Linked DNA regions of Alligator mississippiensis. The protein of the gene in region 2 interacts with the protein of the main gene of each other region in a biochemical or structural test. Links are inferred from orthologs where the notes say so. Each region holds a gene or a part of one and is shown on either strand. Other genes may lie near its edges.

Region 1 (7,074 bases), on a different chromosome or scaffold from region 2:
CCTTGCAAACTCCCTGTGGGACCCAGGTGTCCGGGTGCGGCCTGGGAGCAGGGCATGGCTGGCAGGTTCCAGCCTTGGGCAGGGCACATCTGGAGGGAGGGAGACCCTGCCCCAGCCCGGCCACTCCCTGCTTGTCGGTGGACCTCCCTCTGCAGCCCAGAGCCAAGGGATGAGTCAGGCTCTCGTGCCCCGCTCTGCTCTGGGCACCGTGCCACGGGCTGATGCCAGAGAAGCTGGGAAGCAGGAAGTGGCTTTGGGCCGGGTGCTGGATGGTGGGGAGGGGTGTGTGTCTTGCATGTCCCCGGTGAGTGTGCGAGTGCCTTGTCTGTACATGGTGAGTGTGCCAGTGTGCTACCTGTGCATGGTGAGCCTGTGAGCGCGCTTGATGTGCTCAGGGGATGTGCAAGGGCACTGCTTATGAACAAATGTGTGAGTGCATTGCTTACCGTGTGGTCTGGGCCCCCGCTCTTGCCTGCCCATATGGGGCTGGGGGCTCTGAGCTCACAGGGGCCTCGATTTTCAAGGCTGAGCATCCTCCCCTTTCATGTCTCCGAGACCCTGGGGCCTCTCCGGCTGCTCCTGATGCAGGACCACTGACCCCTGCCCCTCTGCTACTTTCCAGGATGCCCCAGCACCCCTCTCCTCCCCCTGCTTGCATTGCTCCAACCCTTCTCAGCCCCCCTTCTTGCCCAGCTGGGGCTGCCTCTACAGGGTCCGGGTCTGATTGCCTGTGCTCTGATTGCCTGTGGGCCAGGCCTGATGCTCGCAGCACCTGCCACAGCATCAAGCTGGATGGATAAATCTGCCCTGCAGACATGTCCCTGTGGTGTCCCACGCCCAGGCGCACCTGCCTGCTGCTGTGGGAATGGTTTCACCTGGGACAGGGGATGGGGATAGGGATAGGACAGCTCTGGATGGGGCTGTGATGGGAGAACCCCTGAGACCTGCCCCTGGCTGCTCGCTGCATGCGCTGATGGTGCTGCCATTTGTGCACTGACCCTGGTGGCTGGAAGCCCCTGGGGATGGGGAACTGCCCCCAGCCCCCCAACAGCATTGCACTGCTGCTCTCAGCTCCCTCCTGGCTTGCAAAGGGCTGCAGGGGGGTGGAAAGGTGTCCTGCCTCTCCTGCAGCCTGGTCCTTGGCATTTGCAGCTGGGCATCCTCCATCCATCGCCCCCATCCCAGAAGGGCTCAGGGCTAGGGGTGAACCTCAGGGTCCAGGCCTGGATCTCATTGCAAACTGCTGGATTCCCCTGGTGCAGGGGGGCTTGGTCAGGGCAGGGGGTCCCTTGGGCCTGGGGATGGGGGGGCACTGGCAACTTAAGCCTGCTTGTGGCAGAGCGGTGGGCAAATCCCACGGCTTCCCTGGGAAATGGAGATGCAAACCTGCTCCCATCCCATCTCTGGGGTTGCTGCAGGGCAGGAGCAATCCCCCCAGCCCACTTGGGGCCTGGGGCACCCTTGCACCAGCTCTGATCATTCTCCTGACCCAGCAACCTGGGTTCATCCCTCAGCCCTGGGAGCCATCTGGGCTCTGCCCCCTAATCAAACAGCCGATCCGGTCCCTGCCAGTGCAAACAGGACAGGAGCAAACAATTGTGCCTCCCCCCAGGTTCAGAGCTGCGCGGCCCTGCCTGCCAAACTGGTCCTGGGTGCTCAGATCCTGGGGAAGGGTGGGTAGGGCCTGCAGTGAGGATGGAGAGCTGCCAATGTGGACTCGGGTTCAGGAGCGGGTGAATGTGGTGCATATTGCTACCGGGTGCCCTGGTTCCCAGGCCTAGCCGAGAGCTGTCCGTGCTGTCCTGCCATGACCGCAGTGGCTCTGAGCCCCTGGTGCTGGGCTCATGGGCTGTTCTCCCACCCCATGCTCTGCACCAGTACCCCCCACCTCCATGCCCCCAGGTACCCTGACACGGGCAGGTGGCCATGGCCCAGCTCTGGGCAGTTCGAGAAGGGGCCAGCAATGAGGACCCCTGGAGCTACTAGGGGCTTGGAGAGACTCCCTTTGGGCAGCCCCAGGGGCTCAGACCCCTGCCCCATTGTGCTGCGACCTGCCACTGCTGCCCCCCCACTCTGGCAGGATGCGGGAAGGCGCATCCTCGGCGCTGTCAGCTGGATGAGACCAGGCTTGTTCCTGGGGCCTTGTGAGCTGGGGAGCAGGGTGGGCTGAGCCATGGTCCCCAGGCAGAATGGGGCTGCACTTGCACCGACATTCAGGTCTCCACAGGCCTGGCTGTGCAGTGAGAAGCAGCTGCTTGCTCCCCCTCCCCCCTGCCGCTCGCTTCCCTTCTGCATGGCGGCATCCTCCCCACTCAACTTTTATTTAATTGCATGTCAGGGTTTGCAGCTGGCTGGGGGGTGTTGGGACCTGCCAGGCTGGAGCCAGCTGTGCAGAGCCCCCTCCAGCTGTGCAGGGTGTGAGCTGGGAGGACCCCTGCATGGGTGAGCTGGGGGATGGGGACCCTCGAGCTGGCATGCAGCGGGATCCCCACTGCCCACCGGCACTGCTGCCAGGACCTGGGGTCTCCAGCTGGGAGGTGGTGACACTGACCCCAGCCCCACGGCATGGTGCTGGGCACTGCCTTTGCAGCCATGCACTCCCAGACCCCTCCCAGGGAGTCAGGGGTCTAGTCCCTTTTGCTTCTGAGCAACCCCCGAGCCCTTGCAGCTCAGATCCCTGTACCCACAAGGCCTTGGCCCAGCTCCACGCCCTCCTCCCACTCTCCTCCAGCCGGAAGCAGCAGGACTTTCCCCTACCCGGAAACCTCCCTCCTCAGCTCCATGTGAGTCACAGCCTGCATGGGGCTGAGTGGGGCTGTTCCAGGAGGCAGCAGGGCTTGCCACCTCCTCTGCACAGGTTGAACCCATTAAGACCAAGCCAGGCCCAGGTGTGACTGGGGGAGGGCATCTGGGCTGCCCTGCCCTGTGGGTCCTGGGTCCTTTCTCAGGGAGGTGGCAGCTGACAGCGCTCTGCACTCTCCTTCCTGGAGCAGGGGGGTCGGGGTGCAGAGCCTGGCACTCCCCAAGATGCTCCAGCATCGGGCACCCATGTCTGGGCTTGCAGCCCAGGAGAGCTGAGGGCCTCCCATCTCATGTAGGGTCCATGCCTCTTCTCTCCCTGGCAGCAGAGGCTTCGCATGGCCCCTGTGGCAGAGGGGCTGAGCCGTCCAGGGTCCTGGCTCTGGGCTAGCTTAGCAGCCAGTTCCATGCCAACCAAGCCCTGTGCCCCCAGGGTAATCAGGCCTGGAGCCAACTCTTTCCCTGCTAGCCTTGCAGAGCTGGTACAGCTCTGGGCCCATTCCCAGCCCTGTCTCCTGGGAGATCCTGCCTGCCCCTGGCTCTGGAGTTTGCCTTGACCCAGGCTCCAAGGATGCTGGGGTGCTGGGAGATGCCTCCAGGTTGCAGCAGCTTTGCTTTCATGCCTGCAGTTTGCCCTGTGGCCTCTGATCCACCCGGGGCATCTCCAAGCATTGCAACTTCGCCTCATCCTGGCTTGCACCTATGCTCTGAGCTGGCCACATTGCAGGAAGGAGGATGCAGATTAAGGTCATGCTGGGCCAGTGTGGACACCATCAGGGTTTGACCCCAGAGACCTGCCTATGGGGCTAATGGCAAAGACAAGCCTGGGTGGGCAAGACTTGGTGGTCCCCGTGTGGCTTGCTGTGGGGACTTCCCTGCTGCAGGGATGTGACCTTCCCAGGCTTTGGCAGGGCATCAAGCCTGTATCCCCTGCTCCAACCCCACTGGCCTGGTCCACCCAGCTCAGGGGGATGCTCTGGCACGTGACCGGGACCGTGGGGCCTATGACACTTAGTGGAAGAATACAGCCCAGGCCAGACCAGCATCTGGTTACACAACTCAGCGGCACCGCCCTCCCACCATTATGAAACGCAAGGCAGCTGCCTCCAATTTCAGTTAAAAAAAATGAAAAACACTCCGAAACAGCAGCTCGGGCACTGTGCGTCATGGAGCTGCGGATGCTTCCCATCGCTTCATGCTCGCTGGGATTAACCCTCGGAGCAAATGCGTGTCCATGATCAGGCCGTGCCGGGTAGGGCAGGCATTTCCTATGCAGCTGTGATTGAGCTGTCCTAGGGTTTCCTCCCCTGCGTGACCAGGGTAGGTGACGCGTGAATAGATGCCTTGGCTTGATGAAGCCCTTGTCACTGTTTCATGCTTCCTGGGCCCTTTCTCCCTGAAGCATCTCGGGGCAAAGTGTGGGGGGAGGGGGGGGGGCAGGCAGGAGTATGGCTGTGGACTGGAGCCACCTGGACACATGGCAGGTTTATCCAATTTGGGGTGCTTTAGACAGAGAGGGGTAAGGGAGATCTCAGATGATGGCCATTGACTCACCTGAGCAGCCATCCCACGCTGCCTTGTCCCATGTCCATGCATGTGTTCATCCACCCCATGCTCATCCCCCCCGCCCCCCCCTCCTCTCTCCCACCAGGGATTGCAAAGACTCATTAAGCTCTGACTCCCCCAGTTCGTCCCTCATTTTGTTTCCTGCTCTTGTCCAGGCTGTTCCACTCCCTCCCCTGCAGATACACCCCATGGCCCGGTGCCAGTCGGTGCCCCTTGCACCCACCGGGGCAGTGGCTGCATCCGCCCATTCTTCTCTGCCCAAAATTGGGCCTGAGGGGAGGGCAGGACATGGGGCCCAGGGCTCCCCAGCCCCTTGTAGCCAATGCCTGCCAGGACGTTTGGGTGCTCCTCCGCTCATTGGCCTTGCTTTAATTTCCAGAGCCGGAGGGGGTGTCCCCAGTCATGTACGCTGACTATAAATACTGAGGGTTTTTGCTCAGCCGCTTGTCCGGCCAGCATCTGTCAGCCTATTTCCTGCCTCGCTGCCTTGGTAAGTGGTTTGTTTTATTGAGATGCTTGGGGCTTCAGCTGCTCCAGCTGCTGGTGGTTTGTGCATGGGGGGCTGGGGACACAGCCAGCCCTGCGGTTTGGGAGAAGGGGGCGCTGCCTTTGCTGCAGCAGATGTACATGATCCTGAGCTGGGGTGGTGAAGGCGGCCACGGGTTCCCCACTTAGCCTGGGTCTCAGAGCTGCCCTCTGCATCCAGGCAGTTTTGGGGTTAGTGGAGGTCTGGGGCTCTGCTCTGACACAGCCAGGGCTGCAAAGGGCCTCCCCGGACCCACGCAAAGGGTGATGCCTCCTCTGGAGTCTGGGCTTATGCAGCAGCCTGGCTGGGGTCTGCAGTACTTGTGCCCCCCGTTGTATTCCCATTATGCTCCCAGCCCCCAGGCTGTCATTGCTTGCCCCCCACAGCCATTCTTCTGCTAAGCCCCCAGCCCTCAGGCTGTCATCGCTCGGTCCCTCCAGCTGTGCTCCTGCTAAGCCTCCAGCCCCTGGGCTGTCATTGCAGTTGGCGCTGGCTACCAACGCCCATCTGCGCTGCCAACATGACCTCAGGGGAGGCTTGGGAGCAGGCAGGAAACAGTGACACATCCTCCTGCCTTGGTGCAATTAGCAGGTGGGGGCCCTCCCTCTGGGGATGCTGGGCAGGGCCAGGCTATAGGCACTTAGCACTTGTCCCATGGGCCTGGGTGAAGGGTCTGTGACCGGAGGGCTTGGTGGGGATGCTGGGAGAGCTGGGCACACCACAAAAGACAGGACCCGGGTACCTTGCCTGTGCTCCTCCTATGCAAAGGCACTCAAATATATTCAAATCTGCTTCCGTCCCTGCACCCTTAACCCCTGGGCCAGCTGGTCCCAGCTTGGTAGGGAGCTCTGTGCTTCGGGCCGTGCTCTAAGCAGCCCCCTCCCCACGTCTCTAGCTCCCAGATCTGCCATGGCGCATCCCTTGGAGCAGGCACTGCAAGTGATTGTCTCCACCTTCCACAAGTACTCGGGGAAGGAAGGCGACAAGTTGAAGCTCAACAAGGCAGAGCTCAAGGACCTGATGCTGAAGGAGCTGCCCAGCTTCATCAGTGTGAGTGGGGGGACTGGGACCCCCAGGCACTGGGGGCGGTGCTGGGACCTGGGCACAGGAGACCTGTCTGCCCCTGTGAAGGGGTCCAGTGGCCTCTTGCAGAGGGGGCTCGGTTCCTGCTCTGGGATTTATTCTCAGATAAATCTATTCTGCCCCTTTGAAGAGGGGAGGGGGGCAGGAGGTGCCCACGTCCTGTCCCAAACAGTTCTGCCTGGGGCGGGTACACGCGGATGATGGGGTGGAGGGAGGTGGGTGATGCCCTGAGCTGCAGGAGGGGTGCAGAGCATTTCTGGGCTAGGCTGAACCCTGCTCCCACCTCCTTCCCCCTGGCAGAAAAAGACGGATGATGCCAGCTTCCAGAAGATGCTGAGCAACCTGGATAGCAACCGCGACAACGAGGTGGACTTCCAGGAGTATGCCACCTTCCTGGCCTGCGCTGCCATGATGTGCAACGACATCTTTGAGGGCTGCCCCGACAAGATGCCACGGAGGAAGTGATTGCCCTGGGCCTGGGCTGTCCTGCGTGGGTTCCTCCTGGGACCCCCGCTGCATTGCTCACCACTGCCTCGAGAGCCCGTTGAGAGCCCGTGCAATAAAGTCACTTCCAGAGTCCCGTGTGTGTCTTCGACTGTGTAACTGGTTCCCGGACTGTGTTGCACATGGAGTCGTAGGGGTGGGTAAAGTTCCCTGTGGGGTCTTCAAGGGTTTCTGCCAGCTTTGCCCAAAAGAGCAGGGGTCTGATCCAGGCGCAGGGAAAAGTGCAGCAAACCGGGGTCGGGGGCTTTGCTCCTTCCAACTCCAGGATAGCAGCCCTCAACTGCTGGCAGCAAGGGGAGCTCCTCCTAGGCTCTACCCCGCTCCAGGGGGATCCATCTTGGCAGGTGACCCCATAAGTCCTTTCCTACCTGGGTGAGTTTATTGCAGAGCCAGAGCCTGCTGCAGCCCCTTCCCCACAGCTCAGTGACCATGGGGTCCCAAGACCAGGGTGAGGGGCTGGGCCACAGCACTCCAGGGCAGCTGGCTGTGTGGCCCTGGGGTCACCCACAGAGAGGCAGCAGTGCCTGTGGTCCAACTCCACCGGATGGAGCCATGGCTGCTGCATGACGGGGCTTGGACAGTCCCAGCAGCCCCCC
Region 2 (7,305 bases):
GGAGGCCTTGTGTCCCCCACACCAGGCTCAATGTACCCTGGTGCTGCCCTTGAGGGAAACATGATTTGGAGTCCATCCCCTGTGCAGAGCTAGGATAAAGTGTCTCAGTCCAACCCATGGTACAAAACATCTCCTAGTCTGATTAAATCACATGTGGGGCTGGTTATGGAAGGTGCAAATGGAAGTATCATGCAGAGGTGTGCATATGTTTTCTGGACTTATCTCTGGCTGAGGCATGGTCCTTTAGATGGCTCCTGTCCAGATATTAACTCCTCTGACCCACTGCTTTCCATTCAGGTTGGATGGCCTGTTCTTAGGAATAGGCTACAAACATAGATGCTACTTATGCTCAGGCTGGTAACCTGAACACTTTGCAATGAGAATGCAAGCTAAACCATGTGAGGGCTGATTGCCCTCCAGTGCCTTTCCACATTACCCTTCACCCACTGCCCAGGACAGAAACTGGGTAAGAGTCAAAGTGTACGGAGCACCTTAGCTCACTGCAGCTACGTATGCCTATGGGGTATGCCTTCAGAAGTCCTAGCAGCATACATGGCTGAATGCCATGTCAGTAAGGCTCTCTCTCAGGTATGGCTTTACAGTGTGGCTGCTCTCACTTGGGCACAGCTAGTACTAAGGCTTAACTCTGAGTGCCAGGCACCTGGAGAAGGCTGCAGTAGCATCCCTTAAGGCTACAATCCTGAGAACACTTACAAACATACATAGTTTGATTTCAGTGGGATTACACACATGGGCAAGATTAAGCACAGATGGGAGGAATTGCAGGATGGGGCCTGGGGAAGAATTCTCCTTTGTTATTCACCCAGCAAGGGAGTAAGGAGGAACGTCTGACCTCTCTCCATCAACCAACAGTGGCTGCCCCCCAGGTGCCCACCACAGGTAAGACAACCAGGCTCTGCAAATGTGACAGCAGCATAAGGACAGAAGCTCTTGGGGACCAGGTGCCAAGTTTGCCCTGCTACATTTGCACAACTTCACAGGCAAAGGAATCACCTGTGCCTGTCTCAACATTGTAATACAACATGGCTGTAACACCATCTGCTGCCAGCAAGGCAAACAGCTGGAAGCAATGATTCTACAGTAGTGTAGGTATCTCTCTATCTTAGGTGTGAATGCAGTCCCAATTACTCCAGCATCTGGACATATGATAATCTCCACTGTATTTGTCTGTACAGCTGTGATGTAAGTGCTGTTATGCTCACTGTACCAATGCAGTCCTGACATCCAGAGAGGCTGAGTGACTTGACTAAAGTTGACACAGCTTTGACATAGGAAGGCTGGGACAGAGCAGGGATTTGAACCCAGGTGTCCTAGACTGATACAGATTTATCACTGTCTAACCAACTTTTAAATATTCTAATATTTTTTTGTTTTCTACAAGAAAACCTCACAGAGTTACTAGCATTGGTGCGTTGTGGTGCCATGCAGGAAAAATCATGGACCAACATTTCACAATTTTTGTTTTTTAAACAATGACAGGGTATTTAAAACACAGGGCAATTAAGGCCTTGTACAGCTATGCACAGCTGGAAACCCTCATGTAAAACCACAAGGGAATGCTCTCTTCCTACAGTTTGGCTAGAACTGTAATGGGGTTTTTTTTGTTTGTTTGTTGGTTTTTTTACAAGCACTTTAATTACCCTCATATTTTAGTACTGCTGTGTTATTGCAATGTTACTTTTTGACACAGGAGAATTTTTCACGTGCTCTCCTCAATAAAGTTCCCTGATAAGAATGACACATTAAATGAGCTATAATTAGCTATTGGTGTCTTGGTCTTACAGTAGAACCAATAGTCCCCAATTTCTGATCAGGATTCTGCTGTCCTACATACTGGATGGATGGATGAGGAAAACCCAGGTCCTATTTAAGAGACTGCCCTGGTAGGCATGTGCAGCCAGATGGAGGTGTGCCCCATGCAGCCAGATGGAGGTGTGACACCAGTATGGGAAAAGCTCCACAACGGCTGCAGTTGAACCAATATGACTAACAGTAACATGGTGCTGTGGGCTTCAGTATGTGCAAGTAATCATAGCATGAGCCTTTGCGGGAAGTAGGCCTGTGGTTAGTCTGGGCTGAAGTATGTGCCACTGGCTCTGCTTGGATTAAGGCTGGATTAAAAGCTTCTAGGGAGATTCCTACCTGTGTTACAACCACCCCTACCCCTGTCCTGCCTACCCCAAATCTAGTGCTTACCAATCGTTACACCTGTGCCTGGCAATACACTTGAGCAGTCACCTCACCACCCCCAAGAGCTGCACTTGCAGGACCCAGGCAGGGGGCCAGCCCACCCTATCCTGCAGCCACAGGGGGCCCTGCTGCCAAGGGGCTGTGCCATTTTCCCCCTGCCGCCTGTGCCATGTTTAAAGAGCTCAATGCAGGCAGGGAGCCCCTTCCTGGCCAAATGGAGCAGGAGTTCCTGGCTCCACTCCTGCCCAGGGAGGGAACCCAGGCATCCCCAGTACATGCTGCCCCCACCCCGTGCCCCCCACAGTACAGCCCACATGAGTGCAGCCTGGCCCTATTTTATTTCAGTGAGTTTATACTGCAATTAACTGCAATTTTGATTTTTTGATGGCTCAGGGGACCCCAAAACTATATCATATCTTGCAGGGGGCCCCAAAAAACTGTGGGCCGGCCCTGGACCCAGGTCTGTGCTGAGGCTACAACAACCCGCCCCTTCCCCAACAGACTAAGTCAGAGCCCCTCAGCCTCCAGAGCAGGGGTTCTCAGCCCCTTTTGTACCAGGACCCATTTATAAGCAGGGATGGCCAGTCCCTCCCAGGGTGGCCATCATAGAGGACATTCTGGTTTTCTGCTACTCTGTCCTCTATTGATACAAAACCCAATGCTTTTATGTCCTCTGGTTTTCTCTTCAAGAGAAAACTAGAGGACATAAAGCCGTCTGGTTTCATATCAATAGAGAATAGAGGGCAACCGGATGGTCCTCTATGATGGCCACCCTAGTCCCTGCCCCAGTGCCCCTCACTCCTGACCCGCTGCCCCCCACCCCGGCGGAGGGGGCATGGGGGGCCACAAGCAGAGGGAACTCTGCCAGCTTGCAAGGGAAAAGCCACAGATTTTTTATTTATTTAAATTTGTATCCAAGGCCAAATTAGCCAAAACTAATTCCAAATTCAAGAGTCCAGAACCATAAGTGGCCCTACAACTGACAAACATCCTCCACCTGCACCTGGGACTTCACATGTTTCCAAAACCTTTGGCAGGCATCCTACTTGCAGACCCAAGCCCAGAGGCTTGAGGTTTGGCTGCCCCTGAGTTTTGCTTGCCCTCGGCCATAAGGCCCTTGGAGCAAGCAAGGGAGGAGACTCCCATTTCCATAAACTGGGCTTAAAGCCACCGCACCTCGGCGGGTCCTGAACCGCACCAGAAGTGCAGTTCTCCCGTGGAGCGGTTCAGGAAAACTGCCTTCTTGGACACAGAGACATGGCATTTCCCCTGCCAGGTTAAGAAGCCACCACACTTGATCTGAGCCTTCAGGAGGCCGAGAAGCAACAACCTGCCCAGGAACAGACTGAATTTTATTAGTAGATGTTCAGAATTGTAAACCGGAAAGATGACAAAAAGCCAGAAGGGAAAGACGGAGTGCCTGAGTGAGGGACTAATGTCAGAGGGATGGGGGTGGGACACGCAGCCAGGTTACAGAAGATACAACAGATTGCACTGTATTAGTACATGGCAAGAGTCATGAAGCAAAAAGATGACAAAGCCAGAAGGGAAATACAGAGGGAGTAACATAAGAGGGATGGGGGTGTGGAGGGAAACGCAACTAGGTTACAGAAAACACAATACCAACGCTTGAACTGAGCCCTCAAGAGGGCAAAGCCACAGATCACCATAGTTTTTTTTCCCCCCTTTAACAGGAAAACCGGCTTGTAAAGTGTGTTTTCCGCCCTCCCACACGTTGTCGCGACCCACCTCGGGTCCGACCCCGGCGGCTAAGTTACTCGGGCCGGTCCAGGGTGACCCCCCTGATGAAGGGCTGGGACGGGGGGGACCCGCCGGGACCCGCGCACCCGCTTTGCAGCGTACGCAAAGACACGCGGGCAGTGCCTGAGGGACACGCTGAGGCTGCGGGGCCGTGGACACCACCGCGGCCGGGGGCCAGGGAGGGAGGGGGTGCGAGCTACTCCCTCAGCTCCGGGCCACGCATTCCCCGGCGCGGGGGCAGGTGCGGCTCGGCCCCGCCCCCACCTGCTGACGCAGAGCTACGTCGCCGCCGCCGCTTCTATAAAGGGCGGGCGCGGGAGGCGCCCTACGGCCTGTGGACTGACTGAGTGAGGGGTGCAGGCGCCAGCCTTGCCCTGTCCCGCCCGCCCAGATGCGTCTCGCGCTGCCGCCGCCGCTGCTCCTGCTGCTGTGCGCGCTAGCCGGGCGCTCAGGTGAGCGGGGTGTGCAGCAGGTCGGGCCAGAGCCCCCTCCGGGCCAGGCTGCGCAGAGGGAGGCCCGTGCCCCTTTTGTGCCTGGGCTGGCCCGGGAGCCCAGAGCTGCTTTGCCTGTGAGTCACTGGCGAGGATGTGCGAGAGCTGTCACGAAGGTCCACGCCTCGGCTGGCTCCGGGCGCTGAGTGGGGAGAATGGCATCCTGCCCCACGCAGGTGACTACAGCTTTTGTGTCTCTCTCCTGGCTTCTGCCTCACAGCATGCCAGCATGTCACCGGCTTGGGACCCAGCGTGACGGGTGCCCCGCTAGCAGGGAATCACAGCAGCCCTGGGCATGAGATGTCTCTGGGAGTGGAGTATGAGGATGCGGACTACAAGGAAGAAGATGATGCGCCCCTGCCCTTGTACATGGTAGATGAGTCCATCAGAGGTGAGCTGCGGTGAAACTCGGGCTTTTCCCTGAGTCCCAACCCTAGCGTTGAGCTACAGGAGTGGTTCTGAGAACTTGTAGGGAGGTTGTGGCTGCACGTGCTCGGGACTAGCTGGCAACCGGCTGGTATGTAGGAGAGTGGCTGTGCTTCCGTGACGCCTGAACATGCCTTTTGGTGAACCTTGTAGCATAACGCTATGTTGCTTTGGTTTCCTAAATGTGTCTAGGGGCTGAAGAGAGTTGAAATGTCTTGGTGTTCTCCTACAGTTCAAAACGTCCTAGTCAATCTCCTTTGGCATAGCTTCTTCAAGGCTGGACTGAATGAAGCCTCCAGATTTTTTAAGTATTCCGCAATTCCCATTCTCATTTGGGGAGCTATGGTGTGGTGTGTTCTTGAAAAGTTTGTTTCAGCTGTTAAACCTGTAATTCTTGATAGAAATTACTGCAAGTTCTTTCTCTCTGTTTGGCAGGGGGAGGATTACCTATTGAGTGGCATGCAATTTTTCAGTTTGATTATTGTGCAATGCTTCTGTGTATGTCTGGACTAAAATAAAAGATGGGTTTTAAGAAGTGTTGGCCATATGTCCTATGTATACTAGGGATTTAAGCTGGTATTCTCGCATGCTAGCTGCTTTGGGTGAACATTAAATCAAAACTTGCTTTGTCCACACCAAAACTTTCTGAAATGTGAACTAGACACGTTGCTAGCTAACATCTTTTAGAGACTGAAACCTCTGTCTTGTCTCTGTAGACTTTGTTAGCCAGGAAACAACAATTTTTTAAGGGGTCTCAATGGCTCAACTGGCTAGTAGTGTAAGTTCTACTGGTTCAAGTCTGGCTCAAGTCATTGTATGAATGGGAGGCTCCACAAGAAATGGAGGGAGCACTGAAACTTGGAGGGTTAGTGACAAAATCTGTAACCCATTGGTTTCATTTCCTACAAGGAAGATATGTTGCACCTGGTTGTTCCTGTGTGTATATTAACATGCAGTAGTTTGAGGGCCACTATATTAAGGTATTACCTGGTTGTCATCTGAAGTTAGTAGGAAGATGATACTTGACTTTAGGAGACGAGCTCTGAGCTGCTTCTTGAGAGGCTGATTCTTGCAACATTTTGAGCGGAACTTCGATCTGGTAAAAGGCAGCTTAACTTTTGCATGCCCCCCCACCCCAATTGTGAAATACAGTAGTTGCAAGCTTAAGCTTATTGCTTTTGGCATGCTGGTTGGTCACAGAGCCAATCTTGCACGCAACAGGGCTGTTACCAAGCAGTCTTGTAGATTGACTCCTGTCTTTTGGCACTGAGCCAGTAAATTTACAATCCTAGACTTCTGTGGTTCAGCTGTAGATTACACTTGGGCCGTGTCTCCATGTTAATGCTGCTGTGTCTAGATGTAGTGCCCTCAAGCTGCTTATATTAGGATGGCTTCTAAAACAGAAGTGGTGTAGCAACATCTATGGTACTCTGGGCAATCTAATGACCACTGTCACTCGTTTGTGACGCAGTATTTTGAGTGGGCCACATACTACTTTCTGGTTAATCCAGAGACAGTATAGCAAGCTTGAGTGTATGGATGCCTGGCATGGGTTTTCCTTAAAGATGTATCTTCAGAGCCTTCAACAGCTTTAAAAGGACTTGGAGCTTGGATACTTATGTTGGGGAAAAAAAAAAATAGCCCACAAAGATTGTAGTTTGTTCTTAAAATCAAGGAGGAGTTGTCTAACAGGCAGCTTCTTAAGCTAAGGCATGAAAGTTGGCTCTATATTTGTTCAAGACAATAGGCCTACTTTGACTAAAGTTAACTGGAAAGGGGGTGTCAGCTATACAGTGACTAAGTTCAGAGCTTTCTTTTAGTGAAAGGAAACCTGAGTGTAGCTGGTACATTCAGCTCACCTACAAACACAAGTTGTACAATTTCAGTCTGACTTCTCCTGGCAAAAGATGATTTATTTATTTAGTAATTTAATATGTGACCAATGTGGCTTAAGATCTCAAGATAAAGTATAGGGCTGGCTGGTGAAAATCTTCCAAATACACAACTCTAATCTCTGCCTGAGGGAGTTGATCTAGCCCAGTGGTCTCCAACCTTCTTATGGTAAAGATCACTTCTTGGCACCCCAGGATATACTGCATTTCCCCCCCCCCCCCCCCCCCCCCAACAAGCTGTCCAGGCTCTAACCCCACTCACTCAGCCCATCCCAGCCCTGATGGTAGGAGAGGCATGGCTCAGCCCAGCCACATGTCCTGCAGCTCCCAATCGTGGAGCCTCTGACAGACTGAGATCAATTGTTAGAGGCTCTGTGATCGACCAGTCGTTCAAGATCAACTGGTTGGTGACCACTGATCTAGCCTCTATTAGAATTGGCTGTCAGTTGTCTTACGATACTAATCAAATGGGTTTGTCAAGGATGTAGTTGACTCTAAACCCACTTGTAAAGCTCATGGGTGGG

What was found.
Region 1: the proteins of AREG (region 2) and S100A4 form a complex in vitro, tested with the Homo sapiens proteins (2 studies listed by IntAct, with this or other methods). The link is inferred for Alligator mississippiensis from reciprocal best matches to the Homo sapiens genes AREG and S100A4.

What each region holds. Positions count from the first base shown.
Region 1 is NC_081838.1:13,253,487-13,260,560, forward strand, and holds S100A4 (protein S100-A4), read left to right. Parts: upstream 1-4,748; 5' UTR 4,749-4,855; intron 4,856-5,786; 5' UTR 5,787-5,800; coding exon 5,801-5,941; intron 5,942-6,274; coding exon 6,275-6,439; 3' UTR 6,440-6,553; downstream 6,554-7,074. UniProt on the Homo sapiens protein: Calcium-binding protein that plays a role in various cellular processes including motility, angiogenesis, cell differentiation, apoptosis, and autophagy.
Region 2 is NC_081825.1:165,235,824-165,243,128, reverse strand, and holds the start of AREG (amphiregulin), read left to right. Parts: upstream 1-4,303; 5' UTR 4,304-4,363; coding exon 4,364-4,424; intron 4,425-4,683; coding exon 4,684-4,854; intron 4,855-7,305.